Schizosaccharomyces pombe: one gene and its partners. Changing the gene in region 4 together with the main gene of any one other region gives a genetic interaction. Each region holds a gene or a part of one and is shown on either strand. Other genes may lie near its edges.

The links.
Region 1: of cid12 (region 4) and rdp1, extra expression of one rescues a mutant of the other (dosage rescue), as found in Schizosaccharomyces pombe (2 studies listed by BioGRID, with this or other methods).
Region 2: mutations in cid12 (region 4) and cdc20 impair growth when combined (synthetic growth defect), as found in Schizosaccharomyces pombe (one study listed by BioGRID).
Region 3: mutations in cid12 (region 4) and cdc27 impair growth when combined (synthetic growth defect), as found in Schizosaccharomyces pombe (one study listed by BioGRID).

What each region holds. Positions count from the first base shown.
Region 1 is NC_003424.3:1,322,553-1,330,564, reverse strand, and holds rdp1 (RNA-directed RNA polymerase (RDRC) Rdp1), read right to left. Parts: upstream 5,625-8,012; 5' UTR 5,560-5,624; exon of another isoform or gene 5,480-5,559; 5' UTR 5,313-5,479; coding exon 1,665-5,312; 3' UTR 1,504-1,664; downstream 1-1,503. Other genes in the region: phosphoribosylformylglycinamidine synthase Ade3, read left to right, coding at 1-1,303; exo8 (exocyst complex subunit Exo84), read left to right, coding at 6,229-6,266, 6,313-6,370, 6,425-6,566, 6,610-8,012.
Region 2 is NC_003423.3:3,251,248-3,260,606, reverse strand, and holds the start of cdc20 (DNA polymerase epsilon catalytic subunit Pol2), read right to left. Parts: upstream 6,886-9,359; 5' UTR 6,719-6,885; coding exon 119-6,718; 3' UTR 1-118. Other genes in the region: respiratory chain complex IV assembly protein Cox20, read left to right, coding at 7,423-7,473, 7,540-7,654, 7,808-8,004. UniProt on the Schizosaccharomyces pombe protein: DNA polymerase II participates in chromosomal DNA replication.
Region 3 is NC_003423.3:1,060,412-1,066,121, reverse strand, and holds cdc27 (DNA polymerase delta subunit Cdc27), read left to right. Parts: upstream 1-2,697; 5' UTR 2,698-2,744; coding exon 2,745-2,798; intron 2,799-2,847; coding exon 2,848-2,903; intron 2,904-2,959; coding exon 2,960-3,126; exon of another isoform or gene 3,127-3,180; coding exon 3,181-3,248; exon of another isoform or gene 3,249-3,304; coding exon 3,305-3,412; exon of another isoform or gene 3,413-3,486; coding exon 3,487-4,152; 3' UTR 4,153-4,404; downstream 4,405-5,710. Other genes in the region: fol1 (dihydropteroate synthase), read right to left, coding at 1-1,922; pre-rRNA processing protein Esf1, read left to right, coding at 4,552-5,710.
Region 4 is NC_003421.2:1,652,752-1,661,075, reverse strand, and holds cid12 (poly(A) polymerase Cid12), read right to left. Parts: upstream 5,431-8,324; 5' UTR 5,408-5,430; coding exon 4,397-5,407; 3' UTR 3,995-4,396; coding exon of another isoform or gene 3,560-3,994; 3' UTR 3,446-3,559; coding exon of another isoform or gene 2,531-3,445; 3' UTR 2,442-2,530; coding exon of another isoform or gene 1,293-2,441; 3' UTR 996-1,292; downstream 1-995. Other genes in the region: SPOM_SPCC663.15C (uncharacterized protein), read left to right, coding at 1-794; trp663 (TRP-like ion channel protein), read left to right, coding at 1,293-2,441, 2,531-3,445; NatA N-acetyltransferase subunit Naa50, read left to right, coding at 3,560-3,994; splicing-associated factor Saf1, read right to left, coding at 6,364-7,200; trm44 (tRNA (uracil-O(2)-)-methyltransferase), read right to left, coding at 8,296-8,324. UniProt on the Schizosaccharomyces pombe protein: Has a role in the RNA interference (RNAi) pathway which is important for heterochromatin formation and accurate chromosome segregation.

The DNA of each region.
Region 1 (8,012 bases), on a different chromosome or scaffold from region 4:
TCAACTGCATAAAACCAACTACATTCAGGCTTATCATGATAAGTCTGACGGAGGTTTGTTTGTTACTCTTAGTGAAATGGCTTTTGCCGGTCATGTTGGTATTGAATGTGAGTTAGATTCTTTGTCATCCGATAATATTGCGGCTTTGTTCAATGAAGAATTAGGCGCTGTAATTCAAGTTTGTGATCGTGACATTGCCAAGGTATTGGAGTTATTTGCTGCTAATGGTTTGAGTACTTGTGTTCATCGCATCGGTAAAGTACTTTCCGGCCAGGCTCAAACAATATCTTTTAGCCGTTCTGGTAAAATAATCTTCAAATCAACTCGCTCTAAATTACACGGAATTTGGCATGAAACCTCTTATAAAATGCAAGAAATTCGTGACAATCCTGAATGTGCACGACAGGAAATGGAAAATATTGCCGATAATAATGATCCTGGTTTAGGATACCACCTTACATTTGATCCAAATGTGTCAGTTACCGCTGATTTGGCTTTAACTAGTCGTCCCAAAGTAGCAATTCTTCGTGAACAAGGCGTAAATGGTTATTTGGAAATGGCATATGCTTTTTATGCATCCGGTTTTACTGCCGTGGATGTTCACATGACTGATATCCTCAGCGGTAGAGTTCATTTGGATGATTTTGTCGGTATTGCTGCTTGTGGTGGGTTTTCTTATGGTGATGTTTTAGGATCTGGCAATGGATGGGCTACTTCCATCCTTCTTCACGAAGATGCTCGTAATGAGTTTTACCGTTTCTTTAACGAGCGTAAAGACACATTTGGTTTGGGTATTTGTAATGGATGTCAACTGTTCAGTCGTCTGAAATCACTTATTCCAGGAGCTAAAAGCTGGCCTATGTTTACATTTAATGAGTCAGCGCAATACGAAGGTCGTGCAGTTATGTTAAAGATCGATGAAACAAGTGGTTCAAAATCCATTTTCACTGAAAGTATGGCTGGATCTAGTTTACCCGTGGTCGTTGCCCATGGAGAAGGTAGAGCTGTTTTCGATTCAGAGTCCGATTACGAACAATTTAAGAAGGAAGGTTTGGATTTGATATACTACGTTAACAACTACAACGAGCGTACTAGCCGTTATCCATTCAACCCTAATGGAAGCAGAGATGCTATAGCTGGTGTTCGCTCCCCTTGTGGTCGCTTTTTAGCTATGATGCCTCACCCTGAACGTGTAGTTTTGAAAGTTGCAAACAGTTATTACCCTCATTCGAAAGCTAGCGAGTGGGGCGTTCATGGTCCTTGGATCCGTCTTTTCCAATCTGCTAGAAAATGGGTTGGTTAAAGCATTTATCTTGCCCGGAGAAGCTGAATTGGAGTTCACATGCCGTAGTTTCTTTACAGTTTTGGTTTGTTTCGTGTTACAAAATTTTATAATTATTCTACTTAAATTAATGGTGAAAATTAGATTAAGCTTGGCAGATATAAAAATCGTTAATTATACATTATTACGATTAAATTGCTTTAACCATCGAGTATATGTGTAAAAATTATGACAACTCTTTTCCTTCAGCAGAAACATACAACAGTCTTGTTAAATGTTAACTCTAGCTACCTGTTTTGCTGTTCTATGTTCCATTGTCGATAATGAGTACAATTACTATTAGCCTTTTACGAGCAATTAAAGCTTCGAATGTATATTCGATTTAAAAATTATTAGCAGTAAGCATGGCTTTTCGTGAAAGCTGACAAAGACGACTAGAAAATAAATATGGAAATGAAATCAATACCTCAGTAGTGCCATTGCCAACAGATTTGACACGTTGATCGTATGTCACATCGTAAGTGGCAGCAACCGCACTGTTTATCCGTTCTTCATATTCCGAAGAATCAAATGCCGATTGATTTGATAAAGCGCATTTCTCTAAGTACTCTTGAGTGTATTTTTTCTTTAGAAGGTCGAACTGAAAGCTAACTTCCTCCCTAAGACCATATTCATTTACGGTTTTAGCTAAATCATCTTTAAAAAGGATAAAAGCTGTGTAAACTTCATATTCTGTGGAAATATCAAAACGAGCCATAATTGATCTCAGGTCATTATCATAGTGTTTCTTCACTTCTTCAGCTACATTCAGATATTCAGTTTTAAACCTTGGAAGTTTCATACAAGGATCATAAACAGTATTCATTATCGGATTATAAGTTGCAGGTCTGCCACTTTCTCTTTGGAATCGTGCAGCGTATCTGAAAATTTTGCCAACCGCGGTTTCGGAACGAAAAGAACGAGTTTTTGTTTTTTGCATGAAGTCAGGATATCGTTTGGGATGGTATTTGGCTTGCATTTTACAAGCTACTCCCGATTTAGCAAAATCTACAGCTTTTGAATGCATTTCTGCAAGTTCTAAACACACATTTCCAAATATCCCTTCCGGATTATTATCATGGTCATGGGCCCATGCCTTCCAAGCATTTGAAATTAGACCTAGCGAATCATATTTTATATAATTCACAAAAAATTCTTTTACCGAATCGATAAGTGGCTTTCCTTCCAAAAAATCTATAGACTTCTTGGGAGATGATTCAAGCAATGGGGGATAATTAACAATTTTAGGAAGAAGACGTTGATCCCATATAACTGTGTACTCATCCCCATCCAGATCACCACCAGAGCACATAGCAGGAATGCTTCGATCACCCGTTGTCGGAAACACTATCACATTTTTTAAATGCATAAGCTCATCGCATCTGACAGCTTTACAGACACGTACGTCACCTGGATGAAGCGAGGGATTCCTTGCAACAATACACAATCCAACTATAACCCTTGTTTTCAGCTTTCCAGTTGAATATGAACCAAAACTGGTAGAAGTGTCGGTAATTTGGATGAAAATTTCAGGTACTGACAAAACAGCATCATCATAATGACCCTTTAGTGTTCCAGTTTCATCAGCTACACCAAGTAAATAGGCACCCTTTGGAACACTAACTTTTTGTTTTTCCTTAATTAACCTAAGAACCCATTCATAATATAGATTTAATAAATTCTCGGTGAAAGCATCATCTCTTTCAAGGAAACCGGCCTGGATAAAATCAGCAATAATTAAAGTAGAGTGATATTCATCTACGTTGTCCCGTAACATTAAAATGGATTTTTGTTTGCTGTTTATCGATTCGTTCATTTTTGACAACTGACTTCTAGTCAATTCCAAAAATACGGTTTTTTCAACCCCGAGTCCTTCCAATAAGGTGATCAGTTGCATATTCAGATGGGCATTTGAAAATCGAGATATTTTAATAACTTCCAAGGTACTATGGAATGATTTAAATTTATCTTGACTACGGCGTGGAAACACAAGATTTCCTTGATGGTATTCAAGCTTAGTCGGAGGAGCTAAAGATAAAACGCCTTTATAACCACCCATACGAAATTGAAACGCAGAGGGAAACATATCATGATTTTTTACTTCCAAAGAAAGTCTTCGAATTACAGATAATGATGCCATTCCAACCCCATCAGTAAAGCAGTGGTTGTTACGAACAATATCATCCTGAAGGGATATGTCAACACAAAATCGATTAATTTCCTTTGTCGTTGAAAAGCATTGTCCCATCCTTGCTGCATACTTAGATACTGAATTGATTTCACTAAAGTCACCCATCCATTCCCTGATCTGTTTGGCATTTAGATCAGATCCCGAAGCAAAAAAGTAAGCACCATGCTCTCTTAATTGAGAATTTCCAAAAGCTAAAAATTCGTAAATTTGATTACCAACTTTAATTCCGTAGGTTAATAATTGTTGGATGCGAGAATACAATTTTTCATTTCTAAACCCATCAGAACCGCCTCGAATTTTTTGCTTATAGTATTCATCAGTTATTTGCACACGCATAAAACGGTTTGCAAAGTCCTTAAAATTTCTTATAACACGATTTCCTGCTTCTAATGAGTCTTCAACTATTCGAAGAGTAGTAGGTGTAACGTACAATTTTTTAATGTGAATAGAAGAAGCGGAAGATAAATCGTAAAAGACAAAAGACTTAGTAAAATCTAGCTCAGAAGGATTTATTAAAGCGGTTTTGGACGTTAGAATTAGTCTTAGGAATTTTTTTGCTCTCTCTTTCGATAATTTCTTTAAATTCGCCAATATAATGGGCAAATCAATTTCTGATAATAAGTTTTTAGAAAGGCAAGCCTGCAAAAGATAAGCAATCTCTTCCTCAATTTCTTTATCATTTATTAGACTACAGCGATGTTTGTAGTCTGGGACAAGATGGAAAACCACTTTATCAAGTTGACTTTTCAAATTGAATTTTTCCAAGTTGTGTAAAAGAAAGGCAATGTCATCTTTATCAGACTCATCCCTTATGGAAAAGCTAAGGACTAAAACATTGCAGCGTCCAATGGGGGCGTTATGGCAATTAAGTAGCTCTATAGGACTAGCAGTCGTTGGTGAAACATTGAAAGGTAGAATATCATAATGTCGTCTCCAAAGATGAGATGCAGTCCAGAAAGTTTGAACTCTGGATTCAGTTGCATTTTTAGATTTTCTGAAAATTAGTGGAGAAAATCTAAATCTAAATACGAGGGAAATATGATCATCGTAATAATCCGTCCCTACATCGCCTATTATGGAATGAAAATCGAAGTCCAGACGAAAGGTTTCGATCTGTTTGTCAAAAGAAGCATCAAAGAGAACACAGAGCTTTTTGAAATTAAAATATACAAGTAAGTTTGATTCAGTTACAGTTATTCCACAATCAACACCAAACAGTGGGACAATTCTTTCATCATAAACTTGCCCGAGCTTAAAGGAGGATAACGGGATTTTTACTAGCTGATCGCTTCTAAAACTATTCTTAGAGAAAACTTGTCGGCTGATGTGGGAACGATGTGCTGTTATGTCAATTTGAACAGCTAGATCAACACCTTTGACATTTATTTTCCCATTTGGTTCCCAGAATGGAACTTTGGGAGGAGGAGCAAATTGGACTATTGCAGTAGTACTTGTCTGTCCATTCAAAGGTTCATTAATCTTCATGAATTCTATTGTACCGTAATCATGAAGGGGTTCCCACAAGTTGTATAGTTTTCCTCCCTCATTTGAAAGCCAAGTAACTGGAATATCTTTTATGACAAGTGTAATCATATCCCCCAATCTCCAAGTACTACTTCTTTGGATTAGACAATTATCATTTCGTTTATTAGCCGAGTGCAACTGAGCTTCATTATTGTGAACGGAAGCCCATTTCTTTTGCTTTTTGTTTCTATATGGGACTCTAAGTCTTTCCCAGGGTGACTCACGAGAATAACGTTTTAATTTAACACTTATAAAGTCATTTAACGAAACTGCCATTGCTTTACATTGCCATACAAAATCTGGATTTAATTATAACCCTGACAACAAATCAATTTGGAACCTTTTGTAAAAATAAAACACTAAATCTCATAGCGCCTTTATGCAGTATCAGCAGCCTCGCTCTGCGAAGTGGTCTTTTATCATAGAAGATTCCTTTCAGCTGGCTATAAATTCGTTAGATACGAAAAACCTTCGATTTATATAAAAAAGATTATAATGTTCCTATTTATCCACTTATACATACATGTATATGTGTGCCTTTTTAATTTAATTGACCGTTATAGTATCAATATCTATGAATTGCTCTTGAAGGAAGTTTGTAGCACGGTGGAATAAAGTTAAGTGAAGGCTCCTTTACGTATAGGGAAGTAGAATCAAAATACTAAGAATACATATTCATCCTATATGAACCGGCAAGTTGAATTTCAGTTTTCAATCCAAAGCAGATATTGAGGTAGTTTTTTCACCAAGGAATAAAAAATTGTTAGGAAACTTCCATCAGTTAAACGACTGATATCATGCACCTTAATTCATGTTCAATATCGTGTTATAATATCTAGCTGATATTTACTATAAATTTATTTTTTAAGCATGGTATATAATTTGAGCTACGTAGCTTTACTCGTTTCAAAATTAAGTGCAGCCCTGATATTCCAAACCCCTCGTCAGCGCTTGATTTTACAAACACGTCCAACTACTTCGGCAAAGCAAACAACTTAATAGATTTTTAAAAATAGAGCAATTGCTCAAGGATAAATTAATTTATTATTCCTATTTGTAAATACCACAAATAGGTTCTTCATTCCCTTATTTTAATTGGTAAATTGTTAAACTTATTTCAAATGTGAAGCATTCAATTTAACATCCTTTAGATACATAATATTTATTCTTCTATCAGAAACTTGAAAAAAAAATGCCTGACAATCCATCTTCTTTTGAAGATGAATTCATGTACGCAGCTAGAGAATATCGGGTGTTTGAGCTAATTTTTTGTTAGGAAATCTAATCATTTAAGTGTTGCTTCGGAGTCCATACCAAATGAAAGCCAAAGACAGGTATGTACTGAAGTTAAATAAAAACAACCTATTACTAAAACTGCTTTTTAAAAGTCACCGACGCGATTACGAGTCGGTACCTCTAAAACAGATGATATTTATCGACAAAAACGGCAAACAAAACATATCATTTCACAAAATGAAGTTTTTTTACAGCCTAAATTTTTCGATAATCAAAATTTTGATGCTCAAAGCTGTATGTGTAATTATGTCTATTGGAAACTAATTTTGCAAAAAAGATTTAAACGATGTTTTACAGGACCTTAGTGAAGATGAATTTGTGTCTTTATACAATAAGCTTCTACGCATTCACATGGGCGTCCGTAAAAATTTGGAAAAGAATTTTTACAAAAATTTGAATGAATATGTATTTATATCAGGGGAGGTTGAGAGCATGACTTCAGATTTTAAAAAGTTTCAGTCTCTGTTGAAAACCCTGGAGACTGACATTGAAGGATTAAACTTGGTCGACCATACGCATGACCCTTCCGACGAATCAATAAAACAAACGGTACAGAGACTACGATCATCCATTGAAGGGCTAGATGAAGCATTCTGGGAAGCGCCTCAAAGACAGCTTATATGTGAGCAATACAATTGGATGTTAATCAATATTGACAATCAGAGACCTAAGCTTCTTGTCAATATGCTTCTGTTTAATGATAGACTGTTGGTTACTACTTCTCACATGAAAGAAGTTGATTTCCCTGCTAAGCAGCAGGTTTTGTATAATTGGAATTTAACCGAAATTTCTATTTCTTCAATTGAAACTTATGGACCAGCAGGTGCTGAAATGCTGCAGAAGGAGAAAGAGGTCTCTCTATACAAACTGTCAATTAACCATAACAATAAGACCACATTGTTGGCAGTACACAATAGTGAAGAAAGGGATTATATGGTTCGTCAGGCTCGCCATCACCAGCTTCAAGAACTAGAAAATTGGTCTAGAAAGCATGATGAAGATCTCGAATTTAGTCGTGAACTAGAATATCATACTAAATCGGAACAAGCCGATATGTGTTCGTATACATCCTTTCAAGTCCTTTGTAAAAATCTGGATACTCAGGACATCCTTCAGGCTTATGCCAAACAGAGAAACATGGTAAAGGAAATATCTATGCAATTTGATCATCTCGACATACAAATTAGCTTACAAGAGTTTACGGATGCTATTAGAAATTTGGCTTTGATACAAAATAAGCTAGAGCGTGGTAATCTAAACGAGTTGTTTGCCGAATTTTTTGCAGATAAACTTCACAATAGAAAGCGAAAGGTGACGGAAATTTTACTTCATCAACTTGGATTTAAAGGAATCAGTCTTTCCCACGGGAAAGAAATAGTTCGTTATTTACGCTCTTTAGGCCATGAAAAGGAGGGACAAGGTGTATTTATGAAGTCTAGGACCTTATTGATTAAAGAAAAGTGTCTGAATGTTCAATTGGAAAAAGACACTCCTAATTTCATCGATGCTTGCGCGTTCATAGTGTTTCGTTGTTTAGCGCAAACTACTAGTTCTTATTTGCAATTATTTGAGTTGAAAAAATTGGATCCCGCTTACAGGAACTGGATTTTTCAGCAAATTGAGGCTCTTGTTGATTTAATAGAAAATCAATATAAACATTTAGCCCACGACAGATCATAT
Region 2 (9,359 bases), on a different chromosome or scaffold from region 4:
ATATGCTGCTATATAAAAATAAATAAATATGACCAGCAGCAGATAAAATCAAAATAACTTATAAAATACATATAAAGACAAAAAAGCCAAACTCATGCTCATGGTCAGGCGAGAAATGTTAGTTCAGCACAGAAAGTATGGACTGAACAGAATTTTGCAATATAGAAAACTCGTAAAAATCAGCAACAGATTGATAAACGTTTAACATTTCACGAAACTTTGTAGGTGAAAGCTGTAATACCCATTCTCCGCTGCATGAACAGCGTTCCTTTAATGACCATTGCTTAACTGTCTTACATTTAGAACAAATCAAATCTTGCAGTTGATATAATGTCAATTGATGGTATAAGTTATCCACCAAAGTTTCCTCAAACACCCATCGATCGTAAACTAAGTTACAGCTGGAACAAGACCATCCGTCAGAAAACACCAAGGTCCCCATGTCATCGCGAGTAGGCCATAGATGCTCATGTAAACAAAGGTCAAAATCCTGATGGACGCCACACTGCTTACAGGGTATTTGATCAAGTGAAAGTCGACGACTAGGATATCGAAATACCGCCTGAGTGGAAAACTCTTGAATTTGTAAAAGTGACAATAAACTCTTTTTTAAAAAACGGACCTCCAAATTGAGATCATGGGAGAGTTCAAAAACAGCACAGATGCTTTTAACCAATTCTAGAGCGCCATCAGTATAGTTAAGAAAAGAACCTGGCAACTTTGGAAATTTAAGATCTTCTCTGGTATTTTCATCAAGCTGAAGCTCTTGAAAACATCTCCTTACTTGAGCAACTTTCCGTTTAAGAGGATGTATCAACTTACTTTTTAAAATTCCCGATCCAACTATTTCAGAGTCCTCATCAGCATTGTTGTTTTTCACGCGAACAAACCCAACTTTTGTATTAGACTTTTCTAATTTTTGCTTATAAACCTCTTCAATAAACTCAACAATCCAACTCTGAAATTCGGGCTGAATGATTGGAGGTAAATGACTTTTAATGTGCCATGAAACAACTGTCTGTGGTTCTTCATTTGTAGCTGAAAAATTTGCTGCCACCATTTTTCCTCCATAATTAACGGAATCCATCCATAAAAGATAATCCCAGTATTCCGTGACATTTAGATCCAAAAAGTGAAATAGTGGTAACGTCTTAATGGATTTGAGTAAATAATTTGAATAAGTGACAGCGTTCTGGACGATTAATTTGCTCGTTTTGATTAATATTTTATTAGCAGAAGCGTGTATGATATGTGCTCCAAGGCGTTTTATCTCAGAGAGAAGTTGTAAAAAAGTTTTTCTCATTATAACTTCCACGTGCGAGGAGAGTAAAGGACTGTACAGATAAGATTTTGATGAAGAAATCCATCGGGCTAAATGTTGAATTATAAGATCAGCGAGATTATTACCGGATGCAGCTTCGTTCCACCAAGTTTTAACCAACGCCTTCAACACCGGCAATGAATGTGTCAGTCCAATATTATCATGTATTCCCAACTTTTCCTCCAGATCATCATTTATGGCGGTCATGTAATTATCATTCAAAGCTGCCATGTCGCCAATACCTTCTATGTCATTTATGAGAGCAGAATTGAGAATGCTACAAAGTGCAAGGTTGGAAAGAGAAATGTCAACACAAGCATTTGAATAAGCACCAGGATTGTTAACTTCTAGTGGATCTTTGGGACTGGCAATCTGCAGAATACTATCCTTCTCAATACCACCTAAGTCTGGAGTTGGGCCTTTATTCCACCAAAGGATAATATTATGTTCTTTCAGCTTTCTAGAGTAAACAACATCGATACTGTACTGAATGTCATCGCTTTCAAAGTTGCATAATGGGATATCTGAGAAGCGAGAAAGTTGTATGCGATGGAAAAGCCAGCTACCAATAGCTAAGAAATGTTGGATCATTTTCGTAGCAATGTGTTGTTTCCAAGAAAGAGACTGTATGTTGCTCTCAAGCCGTGGTATCATTATATACGGAAGCTCTTCAATTTGCTTCACATTTGCCTTCAATATGTGAGGGAGTGAACTTTCAATAATAAGCAGACTATTTTTAGTTTTAGTTGAAAAATATTGAAGCAACTTTTCATCTATCAGTTTGTACGCTTTCCTTTCGTTTCCCGAGAAAATGACATTACACGAAAGAGTATCAGGGTATTCGATACTACTTTCCTTAATTAAATTATCAAATTTCGACCGTAGCTCTTCGTAAATTTTGCTGATTGATGGGAAAGACATATCACTACCTGGCAGTTTGTCATAAATTATGGCCTCAACTTTTTTTAAATGTGGCATAAAAAGTGAAAAAACAAACCTATTACTAATGGAAAAATGGAATGCATAAAGGTAGTTCATCTCTACTCCATCAAGATAGGAAACATCGTTATCACTTGGGTCAGTGAACATTTTAGATTCAAATCCAAATTCGAAGCCTTTACCTAACGCTCCAGGTACTGAATTATTAAACCTTTTTCTGGATCCCATTTCTAATATCAATCTTTCAATTGGTTCTATACGAGTCTCATATATTCCACTAACAGACGGATGGGCAAAAATCATAGAAATTGATACCTTTTCCGTTAAATAGCTCTTTTCTGGAATTTCAAGTAAAAAAAGCTTATCCGAAGTGCTTCCATGCGGTAATATCGCATTGCTTTTTTCAATTAAGCATCCCTCAATTTCAACATTCGGTAAAGTCTCATCTTTGAAACATACAAAAAACTTTCTATTCACAATGAACCGTATCGAGGTCAACCGATTACGAATAATTACCCAAGCATGTAAAATACCAGGAACATCGGTTTCTCGTATTTGTAAAATATGCCATAAATTTTCAAACATAACTTCAGCAGAAGATTGTAAAACATTGGTGAATTGCCTTGATTGAAACCCAATTAAATGTCTTCTTCGAAGCTTGACCTGCTTCTGATATTTCCACTTTTTCTTAGCATACTTAAGCCAATTCGAATATCCATCCATAAAGGATACAGGTTTTACTTCAAAAGATACAGGTGCTTCCGAGTTCCCAGATTGTTGTAAAAGTTTACGCTTGGTAACTCGAGCGACAATACGCTTATCTTTGTGAGTCACACTTCCTAAATCCTCAATATCAGTAACTTTTGTGTTGTTTATTGTGGATGGATTTGTAGGGGCTAAGGAGAAAATGGAATCGATCTTTTTCTGTTGGTATTTAGAATTCAAGACAGCAACTCGTTTTTGAAGCCAGTCCGGCAATGGAAAACGGGTAACGGGGTTTGAAATCCTTTGGAGAGCAGCAGGGATGCTAATTAGTTTTTGTACTACTGATCCTAGACGTTTCAAATAATAATCCCAATCAATAATGTCTCTAATATCAACATCATATAGACCATTATCTTTCAACCAGAGCCTAAGAAAATGTCGCTTAACAGATTCTTCAGCAAAGAAAATAGCTACCGGTACTGCCCTTTCTGCAACTGGCCTTCCTTTTGGACTTGCGGAAATAATAAAACGACATGCTAGACCTTTGTCTTTGGTCATTTGATCACCCAAAAAGTCAGCCAGTCGCCTGGCTGTAGTAATGGATGTCGATTTTTGGCTTCCGTATTCAGACAAAGCTTTAGACATACTACGATTCTCAGAAATCAGTTCAATTAATTCATCATCTGTTAGGTTAGAGCCTTTGGTGAATAGAATCTCTAACCAAGTGTCAGCAACATAGGCAACTTCTTGATAGCATTCCTCTAAAGAATCACCTTTCAAAAAAACTTTAAATATCTGAGATTGAAAATCCTTAATGAGCTTCAATTCTCCTCTTCTTTTCACCTCAAAGCCTTTAAGTTCAGCTAAACTACCATCGAAATTGAAAACGGCATAACGCTTTTTTAAGTTTTTACCTTCTTCCGTTGAAGCAGGCAAAATCATAGCTCTATAAGGACCATCAACCTCAAAAAAAATGCTGTTTTCACTAGTTGTTTCATACACCAATTTCTCTGGGTCCTTTAAGGCAGAATATTGATGATTGGTGAACTTTTCATGAACCAGGTGATTTAACATAACGCATGGATAAGAGATAAAAACCTTTCCTCCGGATTTCTTTTTAAATTCAAAGTTTTCAGGAAACGATTCTGGAAGAATACACCAAATACCATCTGTGTCAAGTTCCAATGGCCTACCTGCACGTTCAACTATTTGACGAGCCATCTGAATAATCGTAGCGCCTGTCAAACATGTGATACCAGCCATTTCAATCGAATACCAACGGGAGCCTTTTCGCATGACATATCCATAGAAAGAGTTTAAAATAACTTTGTGAGCTAACTGTAAAGAATCGTAGAGTACGACCATCTTTTTGGCCTCCTCTATTTCAGCAAGTCCTCCTTTTTCCTTTATAGCAGCAAGTTGTTTGACCCATTTTTTTTGCAATCCTTTAAAGTCATAACGGCGATCCCTAAAGCTTTTTACCGTATCAATATAAAATGAGTTTTCCTTTTGACAAATTATAGTTTCCCTTTCGATAACGGTATTATCATATAGACGGTGATACACTTTACGGCTGTAATCCGCAATGCGCTTTTGCACCATAGCAGCTTGTTCTGAGGGAGAAAGCTCTTGAAATGACCTAAAAGGTGAGAAAGGGGTAGGGCCTGGAAAACGCTCAGATTGTAAAGCAGAATATATCATATGATATTCACCTTTTTTAGCAGGGTAATACTCCCCTCTCCATGCCCATACCATCCGACGATCACATGTCTTATTGGGCACATTAAGATCGCATGTTGCACAAAACGATTCATCTTTTACTGAATCTGGCTGTAACCGGTTGGTAATCATAATATTTGGGTACATTGAGGCGACATCAAGATGGTAAATCCTTGGCTTCTCCGACCTTTTTGGTCGATCACGAAGGTCACTTAGTTTCTTTAATATGCTGTCTCTAACCTCTTCATAATTTTCGATTTCATCAACATTGACGTTGTTTTCAACTGTTAAAGAAAAATCTAAGGCTTTGTCCAACTGTAAAATTAGTTCTTCATAAACTTTTGGATCCATGTTGAAATTAGTCGGCAAGTCGCTTCTAAAAACACCACTTTCAAGACTTTCAACATGTCCTCCAACATAAGTCTCACTTGCAAGTAAATGACCGTCGAAAAATTTTTGACTAGCATCAACATGTTTATTCGGAAGAATAATATTTTTTGTACAAGCCTCAACAGTTAAAAGCGTTTCACACAACGTACCCGTGCCTTTACGTAAAACTTCATCAGGATTTAATGGGATAATGTTACAAAGAGAAAAAATGAAAGGATGCACATATTTCATGTAAAGAAAATAAGTAGCAACAGCATCTGAAACTGAATATTGAGCAAGAACTTGAGGTTTTTCACTTGCATAAGGAGTCATCAATTCTGGATCTAGTTCGATAGGATTATAACCTAATTTACTGACAGTGACAGCTTTGAGACCTTGACTTCCTTGAGGTAAATAACTATCTCTCTTTACCCACCGGAAGGCATCCATATGACTACAATAAGAAGACTTATATTCATCCTCTGCGTCCCTGAAGAAACCAGTTTCTTCTGTTAAATTCAATCCGTGAAATGCAGCACGTGCGTCTACAAATGGCCAGTCAAAGAAGTCACCATTGTATGTAACTATTACTGAAGGCTTTGCAGACCTTATATGTTTAAAGAATCGATGAAGTAGGCCAACTTCATCAGGCTCATTAAAAATAATAAATGGGCCCTCAAATTCCTCCCTCGGAGTATAATGAAAATCTTCAATATTCTGGGAAATAATTTCTCTATTGGTAATTAAAAATCCTTGGCCATCAATCATATAAGATATCATCATTATTTTATCGAACGAGCTATCAGGAAACTTCAATGGCAGCTTAGTGGTTTCAATATCAAAAGCCATTATAGTAGGTTCTGCACGCTCGATTCGGGAAGCTAAAAGGGATATTTGAACATGGCCTTCATGATATGAAACAGTATACCATTGTCCGACTCGAATATTCAAATCAATAAGTGTACGAGAATGATACGGAACATCGTACTCACGGATATCTAAAACATGATTTAAAGGATCTTCAAATGCGTTTTCTATAATCCCGTTTAAATTCTCCGAAGACAAGTTAGTGTATGCATCAACGGCATCTTGTTGGGAAGAATTAGCTTTCACAGCAGACATCAAAGACTTCCTGACAGCCTGAAGGTCATTCAGGTTATCAAAAACCAACTTTATATACAACTTTTGGTAACCCACTATGTGGTTTTTTAGCTGTAAATCTTCTTTAAAGATACGCGTAGTAGATTTAATTAAGCCCACAAATTTTTTTTTTAAATAATCGTCAACCAAAGCTTCTTTACCTTCTCGAGCAGCAATGTAGAAGTAAGGAGAGTATGGAATGGTACACCGGAAAGTGTCACCATCGTCTTGAATGAAGTAAAAGTCAACGGCACTGAGGGTAGAATTGCCTTTGGTGCTTTCGATTACTGTTGGATGAACGTTGAGAAGCCAAGCTTCTCGTGGTTGTCCACCTTCATAGCTATCAAAACCCATCATTCGATCAATCTCATTCTTTTTGTAGACAATTTTCATAGGATCATTGAAGCCAACTTCCTCGGTTGATTTTGCAAACGTCCTACCGTTCGATTTACTTTTTCCATTGTAGTTACCATTAAATTTCCTAAACTGATATTTGGATGCTCCTCGAGCTGTTTTTAAGGGCATAGCAATACAAAATAAATATTAAAAAAAGAAAGTAAAAAGAGACCGACAGTTTAGTAATTTCCGATTGTTACCAGAGAATTCTAAATTAATAAATGGAATAGTATTAAGAAGAAACTTCTTCTATTGTACAAACATTAGGTATCCTTTTAAATGTGATATAGTGGTTTGGATTAATACCGAGTTAAGAGGCAACAAATTGGTAAACAACAAGTCGCGTCGCGTCGACAACTTGCAAATTATTTTGGGTATCATGTTCCAGTTCAAAGCATTACAATTTATTTATTTTTGCCATAAAATAAAGACAAAGTACAAAAAAATACAAAATTTAGTATACATTAGCCTAATGATCGTGTGTTTCGACCGTAAGTAATTATTTCAAATCGATATTGCTTCCTTTAAGGATTGAATTTAAAGAAAAAAAAAAAAAAAAAAAAAGCAGTTTTCTTTTAGAGAAGCATGGTGACGCGGTTTCTGCTTTCAGTGATATAAATTGTCAAAGCTTGGTTATTTTGGCGAAATATACTATCATAAATGGAAAAGTTTATATTAATTCAAAGAAAAAAATATTGTCTGATTGCTGAAGTACAGGATTAAAGACCCCGCCATAGTAAAAAAACTTAGTAGTGCTTAATTCAATCAGTTTGATACCTTATATTTACCTCTATTCCACCATTAACTGAAAAAGCTTAAACGAATCAGTAACTATGAGTACACCAAATGAACCCGAAAAACCTGGGATTATTGACGCTTTCAAGGTAGAATTTATAGCTTAAAAAGGACTAGTTTGTTGTAAATGCAAGGAATGCTAATACTACTTGTAGTCATTGAAGATGAGTGATTTTGCTCACATGGTACACCATCCTTGTTTTAAGGAATCATTAATCACCAGTGTCGTCTGTGGTCTAGGTGTTGGTTGCATCCATTTGTTTCTTCGAGGTACGAAAAAAAACATTATGCTGGTTAATTGATGTCCGTCAAAAAAAATCGCATGTCTTTTAATTTTCGGACCAACTTTTTAAAACGGTGATTTCAATCCGTTGTTTAATAAGCGGTTTAAATTCTTGCCGACACATGCTAACAATATTCAAGCACCTATTTCTAGAGCTGCTAATTGGGGGTTCGGAACTTATTTTGGAATGAGCATCGTCTCTTGGGAAGGGTGTAATTACCGCAAGCAGCTTGAAACTAATAACTTCAACATTAAAATTACAGAAGCAGCAGAAAAGACCCCGAAGCATCGCTCTTCAAGGTCCGCTCAAGAAATTGATGAAGGTTTTAACGAGTAATTGCATTCATTTGATTCTTTAGGTTCTACTTATTCTTAAGCTCTTTTCATCCCTCTATTGCATGGTATGCTGAGTTTTTCATTTGATCGATTAACTCTTATTCAATTAATATTTTAAATTTGAGTTCATCGGAATGGTTTGTCATTTTTAAATGGTATTCATTGAAGAGTGTGAATTATCACCAAAGAATCCAATGTTGAATTTTTAACTGCCTCGAAGAATTCAATCTTTTTAGGGTGCCATTACAATGGGTGGAATACATACTCTTGGTATCTTGAACGTTGTATTAACAGCAAAAAAGTCTTAAAAATATACAGCATCCACATTTTCCCAATATTAACTAAACAATGGTAGACTTTTTGTTCGTTATTTACTTTATAAGTACTAGCTCATCTCAATCTTTCGTGCGTGTATGTTTACCCCTTTATCGTAAAGTCAGTCTACGACCTTGCGAGGGCATCGCATGATTTCAGCTAAAAACTTTCCAAAATAAAAGTAACAAGACCTTTATGGTGGTTTATTTCTACTAACTGGATGAATAAGCTATGTGATATTTTTGAATGTAAATATGTATTCTTTACGACAATTTTTGTACGATTGGCTAGAAAAAACATTAAAATCAAGTATTTGCAGTCCCATCGTCATTCTTGTTTATTATTTTTTAACAAAGTAGTTTAATCAGGGTAATTTCTTTATTTATAATTATCATCGATGAGATATACTGTTTTTAGGAGGAAAGTTAGTGGCACTTCAGTCGTTTATTAAATATTGTACTAGAAGGAATTGCATTCATTATAGCAACATTTATGTTAGTTATGTAGTCATAAACGATTATTTTAATTCAATTGAAAACTGTGAGTTTCCAGCAATATGGTGATGCTGCACTACGTAACTTTAGCTGTATCATTATTCACTTTATTTATTCGACTAATCTGTTGAATTACACTATTTTTATGTTCAAAATTAGATTCAATTTTATTAATTATATTAATGAATAGATTCAATTGAATATAGTCCTTCAGTTTAATTATGAGCTCTTTGATGTTTATTATATTATCAAAGTTTTAAAGGTAGCCGAGAATAATATTATAGGCAAATTTGTTACTTACTTTTCTTAACAGTTCTATGATAAATCGCAATTCAATGCTTAACGCAGCATTTAGGTTCGTTAAAGTACTTTAAAAATATTACGCATCTAATGACTATTTCATTTTAACAAACTGCTTTAGTTCCACAATAGTGTTATAAAACTTTAACGTGAATGATGTTTTAACGCTGTTTCTTACGTTATTATCGCACGCTATTAGAAGGAGTAAACAAAGTTCTCGTTCACCATACATTCAATACAGTTTATC
Region 3 (5,710 bases), on a different chromosome or scaffold from region 4:
CCAAAGCCAGGATCCAGTATAATATTGTATCGATGAACGCCGGACTGAACCGCAGCTTCCACGCGAGACGACAACTCGACAGCAACTTCTTCAACGATATCTTTTTCATATATTGAAAGTGCTTTCATAGTTTCTGGTGTCCCTCTCATATGCATAATACAAATGGGCACCTGTAAACTTGCAGCTAATGGTAACATTTTCTCATCACCCATCCCTCCAGTCACATCATTAATAATATTAGCACCTGCCTCAATGGCTAGTTTTGCAACTTTTGAATAATAAGTATCGATACTGATGGGTACTGTAATCCCTGAGCTTCGAAGTAAACTAATCATAGGTATTACTCTTCTGAGTTCTTCCTCAACAGACACGGGATCAGCTCCAGGTTTAGTAGACTGCCCACCTATATCTAGGATAGAAGCACCATCTCCAACCATACTTTTTGCTTTTTCAAGGATATTATTCTGCGAGACTTTACCACCATCAGAAAACGAGTCGGGGGTCACGTTCAAAATTCCCATTGTTAAGGCGCCATTAATGATTTTTTTGTTGTCAAAAGATGAGTACAATCTTATTCCTTGTGAAGGCAATTTATCAAGAGCTTCTTGTAAGGGCTGATGGGTATAAGGGTGTACTAAGTCTGGGCTCAAGGCCAGCAATGGACGTAAAACAAACTCACGTTCTTGCAGCCCTAAATGGGGAATAGTCAAAACTTCTGATTCATAAACACAATCTTCGTACAAGACAATATCGAGATCTATACACCTTGGTCCTTTTAAAATTGTTTTGATTCGACCCATTTCTTGTTCAATGGATTGACAAGCTCTTAAAAGATTGATAGGCGACATTCTGGTTTCAATTTTGCAAACACCGTTCAAAAAAGAAGGTTGGTCTTTATAATACATCGGCTCTGTTTCGTACAAAGGGGAAACATCCAACACACGAATACCCTCTATTTTATGCAACATAGATAATGCTGTTTGGATTTGCTCAAATTTGTCACCAATATTTGAACCAAAAGACAAATAAGCAATTTTGTTCTTAGTGGATTCGTATTTATGCAGAGACTCTTGTAAAAAGTACGACCGTGTTCGATAAATTTGCACCGCAGAAGCATTGGCGAATGTGATAGCACTAGGTTTCTCAGCTTTAATGCTTATATCGTCTAGATTCTTTGTAAAACAAAGATACTTTGAAAGATTGACAACCAAAGCTTCTATAGTCAGGAAAGCAGATTGTTCGACATATTCGGCGATTGCGCGCGCGATCTCTAAAGCTTCGACCTCCGTATTTGCAAATGATATATTTAAGCAAACTCTTTGCTTCTCTTGTCGTTCAAATGCGTGAATTCCTAATATCGTAGCTAACTCCAAATCCGAGAATTCAATACGATCTACAAAGTTACTGGTAGAATTGCGTTCGCGCTCAGCATAATAGTGCAATCCATTTTTAGACCTTAAAACACATTTGGGTAAAGTAAGCTTAATAGAAACATGCGAGGTATCAATAACGTCTTCAAAACATAAACTTGCAATTTTATTGACCAAATCTTTAGGGGTTGTAAAAAAAGACCCTTCAATTTCTTTTCGTAATAGCTTAGAAGCTATACCGTAATGAATCGTTGATTTTAACTCGTCTTTTTCTCCAGCTAACTGAACATTGTTTCTCATATATACATCAATTTGCACTGGCTGAGGTTCCTTTCTTTTCCATTGGTCTTGACCCACTACAGCAAATGTGTTAAGATTTTCAACTACGACAGTGTCATGTATCAAGTCCATTTGTCTAGTAGGATGTCGTAGAGATGAGAAGCGGAGTTGTCTGGGGATAGTGCTGACTATTCTAGGTATTTTGGCAAAACCATGGAGAGAATTATTTCTAATGAATGGATAGATTCCCCAAAGGTTTACTAAACTTTTCATGAGAGTTTAAAGAATTGATTATCTATATTGGAAGTATTTGCTGAAGCGACCAACACCATGATAAGTAAGAATAAGCAATACCTACGGTATCCTGATGTCAATTATCTAAAATGAAGGCATATGGGATAAAGAATTGTAGCATTATTTGACTGTTATTAAATTTAATTCATTATTGAATACAGCTGGGAATATGTATATACTCTGATCATTTCTATGGAGCATAGAGCGATACTGAGAAATAATATTATAAGAGATTTGTCAGATGACTACATTAATGTGCTACAAATCATTATACCCGAAAATAGAAATAAGGGAGAATCAAGTTTGATTAAATATAAAACATTCCAACAACTTTGTGAAACTCAACCTTACGCTATCAGCTTAAAAGCAGAAGGAAATTAGTAGAGAAAAAAAATCAAATTGCCATGTTCAAAATTAATAAAATTTGAAAAACATTCTACTAAAAAATGCCGTAAATTACTAAATCAATTTCTGTCAGCGTTGATGAAGTAACTTCCCATTCAATTTTAAATCTTTCATTAGCATACTTCTATGAACTGGATAGCAGCAGTAATTGAACATGCGATGTCAATATTTAGATTTTAAATATTTTACATATTGTAAATGTAGTTAAGCATGTATACTCCATTAATGAAAATGTAATCTTTCATACATATTTCGTCTGCGCTGGCTTCAGTACTTAGCCTACCTTAGGATTGTTCCCACTAATTTTCAATTTCGTTGATTTTACACACTGCTTCTTATTCTCGTAAATACCACTTTCCTAAGGAATACTTAGCGGAAAAAGAAATTTCTAAAAAAATGGAGGAATGGAGAAACTTCTTAGATATTAAAGTTATCAATGAATCTTCACTTGTAAGATATGAAATTTCAACAAGAATTTGAATGTCTAACTGTATAAAAGGTAACTGTAGATAATTTAAGTCTGCAATTGGATATATCCAGTGAAAAAGCACAAGAGTAAGGAACAATACGCATTATTTTTTATTTTTATTATTAATAATTCATACTTTCAGATATCTTAATATGTTTTATCAAGGCAACGATTTTTTGTATCCTATATACCTTATTCATGGACAACCTATAGATGATGAAATTAATTTGGAAATTGACGAGGAATCTCAACCTATATCTAATTTTCCTGTTTTGCAATACATTTTGTGTGATAAGTCTTCTCTACAAGGTTTGTTATTGTCAATTCCGATCATTCGATAGCAGATTCGCTAACTATTTGTAGAGAAACAAAGTAGATTGAAAAGTGGGTATAAAACTGTTATATTTGCTCTTTCATCTGCTCCATTAAGTGTAAGTATTCGATAAGCTGTATTTTATATTGTTACAAACTAATTGATTTAATTAAGGATTTTGACGAATTATTACCTGCAGTATATGAAATAAGAGAGAAAGATGTTTTATACAAAAAAGAAGATGCTGATAAGTATGGATTTATTTTCAATGAAAATTCCGTGGTAAGTAATTTATATCACAACAATCGTTGTTTGACATTCGATCCTTCCGTCTTCGGAAGACTAACTTATTGTAGCCTCGTGTTTTGAAAAAGGCACCTTCAACTCATTCCCCCCAATTATCTGTTCCCTCAAAGACATCGACAATCGATAAGACTGACACACGTAGTACAGAAAAGACTAAAGGGAAAGATATTTTCAGTAATGCAAGGAACCAAAAGGGAAACTCATCTCGTAAAAATAAAAAAGCTCCTCTTGAAAATCATAAAGAAAAGGAGCCTCTCTTGCCAAAGGAGGAGAAGTTGTCTGAGCAAGCAAAGAGAGAGCGCGATGATCTGAAAAATATTATGCAGCTAGAAGATGAATCAGTATCTACCACTAGCGTTCACGATTCTGAAGATGATAATTTAGATTCTAATAATTTCCAATTGGAAATTGGTACCGAAGCAAAATCTGCTGCACCTGACGAACCTCAGGAAATTATCAAATCCGTATCCGGTGGAAAGAGACGTGGGAAAAGAAAAGTTAAAAAGTACGCGACAACGAAAGATGAAGAAGGATTCTTGGTTACTAAGGAAGAAGAAGTCTGGGAATCATTTTCTGAAGATGAAAACATCTCAACTGGTACTTCAAATGTTGTTAGAAACAAACCGACTACTGTAAACATTGCAACTAAGAAGAAGAATACTGCACAAAGTAAACCACAACAAAAGTCTATTATGTCCTTTTTTGGAAAGAAATAAGTTACTATTCATTTTCGATAGTATTAAAACATGTGTTCACGAAGTCCCTTCAATTCTCATGCAAGCTATTATCAGGAGTTTTATTCATATAGAAAAACTGTTAATGTTAGTACAACCTTTAATCCTAATCTACTGTTTTTAGTTTTGTTTACACTATTCACAACCAACTATGTAAGTCTAAGAGAAGTCGAAATCAATTATCAATACATCTTTTAATTTTAAATATCATAAATAAATATGTTTCCTCAAAGCATAGAAGAATCGATTCTTTTTTTTATTAGAAGTATTAAATACTCCATACATTAATGAACCACAATGCGTTAATGTGCGTTAACTACAACACATAATTTGAAAGTTGAACTTCATATTTAGTCAAAGCCTTGTATATTGGAAGTAGTCATGGGCAAAAAGCAGACGAAGCCTATTAATGCTAAATCAAGGAGTGAAAGCAACGTAGTTGCGGATCCTAGATTTCAATCAGTTCACTCTGATCCTAGATTTTCTAGACTTAAACGTGGCAATTTTAAAGTAAAAGTTGATGAGCGGTTTAAATCTCTCAAGGAGGATAAGGACTTTAAAACTACTGCCAGTGTTGATCGATATGGCCGTCCTCTCAACCAAGATAAGGCTACTAAAGAGATTGATAGACTGTATGAACTGGAAAATGAAGGGTCGTCCAGTTCGTCTGAATCATCGGAAATTACTGACAACGAAGAAGTCGCTTCAGCGTCTTCGAAATCCACAAAATCGGAAGAATTAACCGATGAGGAGTCCGAAGATGAGGAAGTATATGATCCAGCTCGTGGTGAGGGAATTATTAGTACTTCGGAAAGTAGCGATGAAAGCGACGCTGAAAGTGAAACTGAAGCTCAACCGGAGATATCCGAATTAGCTGGAATCGAGCCAGAAGAGAATATTCCTCGTGGTTCAGAAACTAACCGTCTTGCTGTAGTAAACATGGATTGGGATAATCTTCAAGCAGTTGATCTTTTTGTTGCTCTTTCTTCTTTTTGTCCTCCTGGTGGGAAGTTACTGAAAGTGTCGATTTATCCCAGTGAATTTGGAAAATCCAGAATGGCTGCGGAACATGTTCAGGGTCCTCCACGTGATATATTTACTCCAGCTGACAATCAACCTTCTAGCGCCGAATTGCATGAGGCTCAAAAATTTGGTTTTGATAACAATGAGTCTGATCAAGATGAGGAAGATGCTTTAATAGAGGAGGATTTAGGCAACGAGTTTGATATGGTAAAATTACGCCAGTATCAATTAGAAAGGCTTCGTTACTATTACGCAGTAGTGGAATGTGATAGTGTAAGAACGGCAAAGGTTATATACGAAACTTGTGATGGCGCTGAGTATGAAACTAGCGCTAATATTTACGATTTAAGATTCATTCCAGATGATGTTACATTTGACGACGATGAATCTCGCGAAGTATGTACTAAAGCGCCCGAAAAATATGAGCCGAGAGATTTTGTCACCGATGCATTGCAACATTCAAAAGTTAAACTTTCGTGGGATGCTGAGGATCCACACAGAAAGGATTTAATTAAAA
Region 4 (8,324 bases):
AGCATTCCGAGATTGAAGACTTTCATTTCGATCCTTATTCCGAGAAAGGTGTCCATATTGCCATGAGATATTTTGATGCCGCTTTAACACATCGTGATCGCGAATGTTTAATCCACGATCTATGTGACAACGATCAACTGAATGATGTTGTAAGAGAATTTATGAATGCGTTTTATAATATCATTTACGAAGCACATCAAGCTGCCGATTTTTCACAAGCTATTTATGACTTTCAGTATTTCTTATGGGATGTTATTCAGCTTTCAAAGGCCGGTGCTCCCTTAGTAAAGTTCATCAATCTTGTTGAACGTTATCAAAGCTGCTTTGTCCGTTTCATTCACCGACTTGTTGTGAATGCGCCCGATCTTTGTGGAGAGTGGTGCGACTGGTATCGCCATTGTTTAAAACAATTTAGTGTTGAGGTGAAGACTCCTGATGCGGTAGATGTTGCCCATAAAGCTTTAAATACCTTGGATGAAGAGACAAAACATCAAGTTTTGGAAGAAATTGGTGATTATGTGAAGGAACTTGATGAAGAAAGCAAGAAGGCTATTGAGAATAAAGATAGTACTAGTGAATGGCTTTTACATCTTTATAACTTCTTTGGGTCCGCAATTATTACACCCACTACAGCTCATGGAGTACCGCAGCCACAACTTCCAAATTGTGGAATGAAATTAAATAGAACTAAAGAGAAGCTGCTGACTCCTTTTCGAAATCTTTTAATGGAGCAACTCAACGAATTACAAGCGAAAAATCAAGAAACGCCTTCAGAAATGACTTCAACAGAATAATTTTATTACTAATTGAGGTCCAAAACATAATGACATAAAATCAAGTGAGGCTCGCACATTCCATCATTTCTTCTCACAACTACAAATGAAATGAAAATGCATTTCTTTTTTTTATTCTTTACTAATGATACATTCTTTACCATTATATTGCTTTTTTCATAGTGTAAAATTGTGAGCGTAAGAACAATGCTAAGATGGTGGTAACTAAATAAACGAAGCCACGTTCTGTATTCTTTTTCGTAAAAATCTTAAAGCTTCAATCGTTTCATTACTATTTATTTAATCCTTGTATTTAACTCAATGCTATGGTTGTTAAAAAATACGACTGCTATTTCGTAAACATTACAGTCAAATTACGGCATTTGAGTTCAGTAGCATGTTTTTGTTATTCGTGATAGTTTGGTAATTCTGAGGAAAGTTCATTTTAATTTTTTTTGCATTCGTTCCAAAGTTAAACCCTCTACATAACTGGAAGGGGGATGTTAATGGAAAATGAAAATGAAGCTAATACTCTTAGCTTACTTTGCAGTTTTAAGTAATATCTTATCGTCAGTGGAAGGTCGAGTAAGATATAGTAAGAGACCAAATCACAAACTTGGAACAGCCGAGTACGCAGAATGCATGTCAAATGCCCCGATAGTGTTTAATCGGTTTGATGCAAGTTATTATACACGAAACTTGTCAGTAGTCTTTAATATTCTTGGATATTCATCTGTGGACGCAAATGTTACGTTTGATATTATAGTTGAAGCTTATGGAGAGCAGAGGGCAAGATTTACTTTCGACCCTTGTGAAATAAATCTTAATACTGTGTGCCCAGTTGCAAGAGATACAGCTATAACCACACAGGGAATACTTCCAGTGAGCCCTCAAGATGTTCAGATGATCCCAAAAATTGCCTGGGGAATTCCTGATTTTGAAGGCTTAGTGCGTTTTCGCATGTATCGCTCAGAAGACATCGCAGCGTCATCCATCGATAATTCTACACCACTTGCGTGCATGATCGCGACACTTAATAATGGTCATACGTTTAAAAATAAAGTCGTAAAAGCTCTAAGTGGAACTGCTTTGGCATTGAGTATAGCAGGCGTCTTAGGCTTTTATGTAATTGGAATGGAGCATAGCACCTATCTGACACGTCAGGTTTTCATCAATTCCGTTCCTTCTTTGCAGCACATGGGAGAGCTACTTCAATGTATAGCTTTCACGGGAGCAATTGGAATTACACAGCCAAAAGTGCTAGTCGCATGGGCTAGTAATTTTGCATGGATTCTAGGATTTATTACCAATAAAGAGATAGAAAACAGCCTTGAGTCTTTTAGAAAGCATTCCAATGGAAACCTAAGTTCTCCAAAGATAGGTGGAGTCCATCGAAGAGATGCTGTTGCAACAAACCCTCAAAGCCCGATTCCTGGATTTTACCATGGGTTTCAAGGCCTAGCCACCGAAGTTGGAACGCTAACAACGAATTTATTTACACTCACTTTAATATGGTTTTTGATTTCTTTGGCCATAGCAGGAGGAATCGTTATAATATTCGTACTTATTATTAAGTTTCTTCGTCAGACACGTATAATCGCAAAATCTTCATGCGATTATATCACAAGGTATTGGTTTAGAGTACTTTTTAATGCTTGTATGAGATGGGTAAGTTAATTGAACAAAGGAATGAGTTGTTCATACATAGCTCTTAACGACTTTTTTGCTTTATACTTATACTAATCTGGTTGATATAGGTGTTGGTTTGTTGGCCTGTATTGGTAACTATGATAATTTACCAGTTTACACTTAGGGAAGCATATGGCCCTGTAATATTGGCGGCTTTGCTTCTGGCACTGCTTTTTGGGCTTTTCCTTTGGTTAACTATCAAAGTCATAAGAGTGATAACAACGTCAGGCTTGAGTAACGAGGACAATCCAGAAACATTGATAAGCGATCCAAAAATATACACATGGTGGGGATGGTTATATTTGGATTTAAAAGAACGGCGATGGCTCTATGTTTACGCCTGCTTTGCACATTATTTTAGTTTTGCATTGGTTTTAGCGTTAGTACAACAGTTTGCGAAGATTCAAACTATACTTCTATTTGTTATTGAAATCATCTCTTTTATATTGCTAGCAGTGTTTCGGCCTTTTGTTGGTTTCAAAAATTCCTTTTGCGTCTTTTTGGTTGCTCTCACCCGAGTGGTTTCCTTTGCTCTTCTCATACCGATAGCATTTGATTTAGCAATCATTCCGAAAGTGATCATTGCAATCATTCTTATCATTATACAAGGGCTGGTATTTTCATTTATGGCCCTGTGGAGCCTTTGGAACTTCATTACTATGCTAGGTACAGCATGGCCAGCCATTAGCTACACAGTCCCTTGGCTTAGAAGATTAATAGATGAATATCAAAGACAACTTCATATTGACTTTGAGAATCCTGCGGTTTCTGCAAGTGAAAAGCTATCCACCGAAGAGATTATCCCACAAGAATCAAATTTTGAAGAGCCCTCTACCACAAAGAAAGAAGGAAACGTAGACACAAAGGAAGATGGAAATGACGATGTCTTCAGCCTTGTTAACGCTTCTCCTATGCGACCAGCATCTACAATACCTTCACATTCATGTGACAACGGGATTAATGAAATGCAGCGTACTGTTTAAAGATTTTATCGTGGATGTTTCCAACTCAAACTATTGCATTAGAATGCCTTAAAGACTGAAAGTTGACAACACCAAGTACATATAGAAAAAGATATTTGCATTTGCATAAAAAAGATGATTGAACTTGATGCGATTAACCCTAATAATCTGAAAATCCTTGAAGTTATTAACGAAAAGTGTTTTGATCCTGAAATCATTATATTTCCAACCTCCTTTTACAAAGACACAATCTCAGTCGGGCCTTTAGCACAATATGCGTACTTTAACCAGGTCTGCGTAGGAGCTGTTAGATGCAAAAAAGAAACACATAATAAATCGCACAAAATCCAAATTTTATCTTTGGCAGTTTTGCCAGCCTATCGAAACCGTTCTATTGGTACCAAGCTGTTGGAATATGCTTGCGAGACTGCAGCTGAGGGAAAAGCCAAAGAAATTTACATTAAATTAAGCCCTAAACTCGATGTATCCGAATGGTTTATTCATCGGGGATTCATTATTGATGAGAGCTCCAAAACAGAAGATAGCGTCCTTCTTTCGAAAAAGCTATAGATTGCACACACATTTATTAATCTAAGTGAAATGCAATTATTAAATTGACTTGAAAATCTAACATGGATCCTTGGATAGATTTTAAAAGAATAAAATAGATTTAATTTTGAAATTTTTAAAGAACAGATTTTGTTAGCACCTTCAATAGGTACAAAATGTGATATCATTTGAAACAGCCGAACCTTGCCTAAGTAAAATTAAAAGACTTGAAAATGACTAAGATAATTGTAGGATTCTTATATCCTATCAATAATAAGAATATGAATCCATTCAATTAAACAAGAGTAAAGTACATACGAACTGTAGTGAAACATTACCACATGCGGCAAGACAACTTAGGAATTGAAAAACAAATGTTTATTTAAACAGCGAGCATTATTTTTTAAATGCATTAACCCGCAGTTATCCGCCAGCTTGTAATTCATCTGATTCCGTATCACTATCATATCCCTCCACCAAACTTCGTTTAGTATTTATAACATTTTCAAACTGTTTACACAAAAACATTTCATCTTCCGTAATTGCAAAGGTGCTAAACCATGTCTTATCGGATAATAATTCATTAGCTGAAGCAACAAATGCAGCTTTAATCATACTAATTTGAAATGATTGCTTTCCAATGTCGTTATTTCTGTCAATTGGATCTTCAATAGATAGCAAATTTGGTTGCACTTCGTTTAACCAGCCCTTTTGTAGCTTAGGAACTATTTGACCGGTTAAAGGTCTCAATACAAAAAGTTCGTATGTCCATTCGACTCCCCAAAAATAGAAGAATTTCTGTAGTAAAGCTCGAATTGGTTGCACTTCCGAATCAATTCCCTTTTTGTGAAATCGCATTTCAAGCCAACCAATTAGCATATAAGAGAGCGCGCAACTTGCAATCCCGCCATGATGAACGTTTTCCAAATCTCTTTCAAACAACCAGTGCTTCAATAGCATCAGCAATCTACCAAAAATTGGGTGTTCTTCGTTATAAGCTTTTTGCAATTCAGCAGTTCTGCAAGCTTTGTCATTTCCAAACGTCAAATCCACCCCAATTCCACTAACATCTACTAAATTGATGCGAGGGACTCTGGCACTAGAATGGAAATCAGCATCAGCATCCAAGTACTTTCTTAAAACCATGGTGACGCGTCGTTTCTCCAATTCTCCAACTCGAGGTGACTTCAAAGATACGTCTACATCACTTATAGATAATGTTGTTCCAATATACATGCTACCGTATACTTGAAGTTCAGCATCCAAAACGACCTCCCTAATGTGAGTCTGTAGTTTCTCTAACAAAAGCTTTCTGTACTTCAATTCCTCGATTTTCGGGCTTACGAACTCCAAAAATGAATAAAGTCGAGCATTATCACTCAAACCTTCTTCATTCCATGGTACTGAATGCAGCTCTAACAGGACTTTACCCATTCTTAAGAAATGGCATTTTGGCTAATTTTAATATCAATGGATTCAATTTCATGGCTCCTCGCACATAACGAGGTCGTGCGAGTGCCTTGTAATTATATGTAAATAAATCATTTTATAGCAAAAAAAAGTATCACGAGTTTTTAATCAATAAATAACTTATTTGTTTTTATAAATAATAGAATGATTGACTGCAAAAGCTTCCTAGTCTCATACAGCATTTATAGCGAAAACCAAAGATTATGAACCCAAGAAAAGCAAGCAAAAGATAGATAAGTACTCCCTCATCTCTCATTGTGCAAATTTTAACTTAAGCATGTGTATTTCGATTTTTAAAGGTTTCCTTTATGATATTTTTATTTGATAAACGAATTCGTTGGTTTACGCATGTAAATACTGTCATGGCGTCTAAATACATATGAAAATAAAATAAAATTAATCCAAGTAATTAGTCATGTACTTCTTTCTTTTTGGTAATCTGATTCGTAATGAACAGTGTAGGACTAAGTGTAACAATCATAATTTAGCAAAAGACAAATTCACAAAAAACAGTCAACTTGAAATAATCACGGAAAGATGAATATAAGGTGTTTTTTTGAAATCCCCTTTCGCTCAAGCAGTGTAAAAGTGACTATAATAAGGAATTATTGAACCAAGAAAACATTAATAAATATCATGCAATAACACAGAAACAAAATCTCCTTTGTTTTTTTTGGACATCAAAAATTTGAAATTATTGACCGCATCATAATAATAAGCCTTTGAATTAACTTATGAAAGCTCACTCATAATTGAATAAAACAAAAAAACAAGTACAGAGATGCAATCAAGCTCCTTTAAAATTGAACCTAGTAAACAGATATTATATATAAATTAATATGCATGTTTATTAACTAAAAATTCCGTCTACACCCATTTGGTAATCCTTACTTCCAATCTCCATAATTTTAACGACTTTTTTATAGATATCCGCCAATTTCTTTGTAGAAATTATCTATTTCTTCATCCTTGTCTTCCTGAACTTGGCTCGATACATCCCTGTCTGGCTGTCCAATTTTCTGCCCCTTGGCTAGTTTTTGTCGTTGAAACGCAGCAGGTAAAAATTGAGCAGCTTCTTGTCGTAAATCTCTGACTACCGGCTGAGCTGAGTACTCAATCATAGTTTCCTCTTCAATGTCCTTCGTATTTGCAGCAGCTTCTGTCGTAGTAGTGGATTTTGGTTGTGCTGAACTTGCATTTATGTCTTGCTTTTTGTGGTGCTTTGGCTTAAAGCTCTTATTTTTCTTTTCCCTTGGCTTTGGATCCTCAAAAGGATATTCTTCAGAAGGTAAAGGTATATCAATAACGGATTCATCTGTTTCTGAACTTAGTTCTTCCTTCTCACGATAAGGCATTCCTGGCGGCGGAACTCCGTAAGGATTAAATATTGGATCATAATATATACTTCGTTTTGGGTTTTTAGGGATAAAAGGCTTTCTAGGTTTATGTTGACGTTCTGCCTCCTTAGTCTTGTCTGACTCAACACGCCCAACTCTATGTCCATGAATGTTTTTCTTCTTCATAATTGCCATATCTCTTTGCAAATTTTGTAATAATTGCTTGTCATGTGCATTTAAAGCTTGCGAAGATTCTAATTGTGTCAGCTCTGATAATTGGCGTTCCATTTGGCTCATATTCCTATGCGACAGTCGTTCTTCATGGCGTTTTGCTCTTTCTTCTCGCACTTTAATTTGTTCTCTTTTTTTCTTCTTTCTGCTCTCCGCTTGAACGGGATTTAATCCCCGTTTTGACAGCATTCTGTAGAGTCAAGTATAGTATGGGTTTAGAATGGTGGTGATCAAAAACGTGACATGTATAAAATATTTAGGCAAATAGACAAAGAATAGTATTAAATTGGTTTGAGTAATCGACCGTTTACATTAAATTTAAATAAAGAATAATTAGTAATGTTGAAGTTGATGAGCTAAAAACTAAAGTTAATAGGCTGGTAATTAATTGTGTATATAGAGTATGAGTCAATGATGGAATTTCAGAATCTTTTCGTTTAAGTATATTCTACTGTATTAGCAATCATTTAGTAGAATTGGGCTTTAAAACGTAATTATTTTTCTGGCCTTGCATTTCAAGGCTTCCATTTTTGACATGTAAGAGTTGGCTATTTAAGAAAAAGTACTTACTCATTGAACTTGGCAATTGTCAAATATTTGAAATATGCATACTCCTTATTTTAGTGATATTTTTCAGCTTGACTTCCCGTTTAAAAAATGAATTACTGCTTAGTAGAGGGAACATTTATGATGGAAGGTGATTTATAGTCGTGGATTCAACAAACAGTAGCAAAGTTCGTTGAAAATAATTAAATTCTTCTATGTCACTTATTAGTAGACCCAAAATCAACAGTTTACGTTACAACAATTGATAGGTTTTACGCTAATCAAAAACATATTGACAACCATCTACATTACAAACGCGTTTATGAACCAATCACATATAGTTTTATTTTCTTGTAAACATGAAAGCATTTTATTAACCATTAAATCTTGATCGATAAGAGAACAAACAATTTTGCCATTTTTACGAACCAAGTTCCTCATCCGGAAATCCGTAAGCTTGGCAGATACAATGGCTGTTCCATCTTCACCGAATCCAATAACCGATAGTCATCGAACGGCCAGTAAGAGATTACCAGCACACGAACTATATCAATTTCAGAGGATGGTGTTAGTAGTAAGAAAAACAAGCCATCATTTGGGACTATAAACATCTAAAAAGCAGTCACTCAACTAACGAACTTTAAAGCATTTAAAGTTGAGTAAGCGAATCAAGGGCAACTATCGAACTTTGTCCGTATGGCAGAATTCTATATATTAAAAAAATGGAAATTTTTTGAACTAATGAGACCGAGAATTAGCCGCTGCAA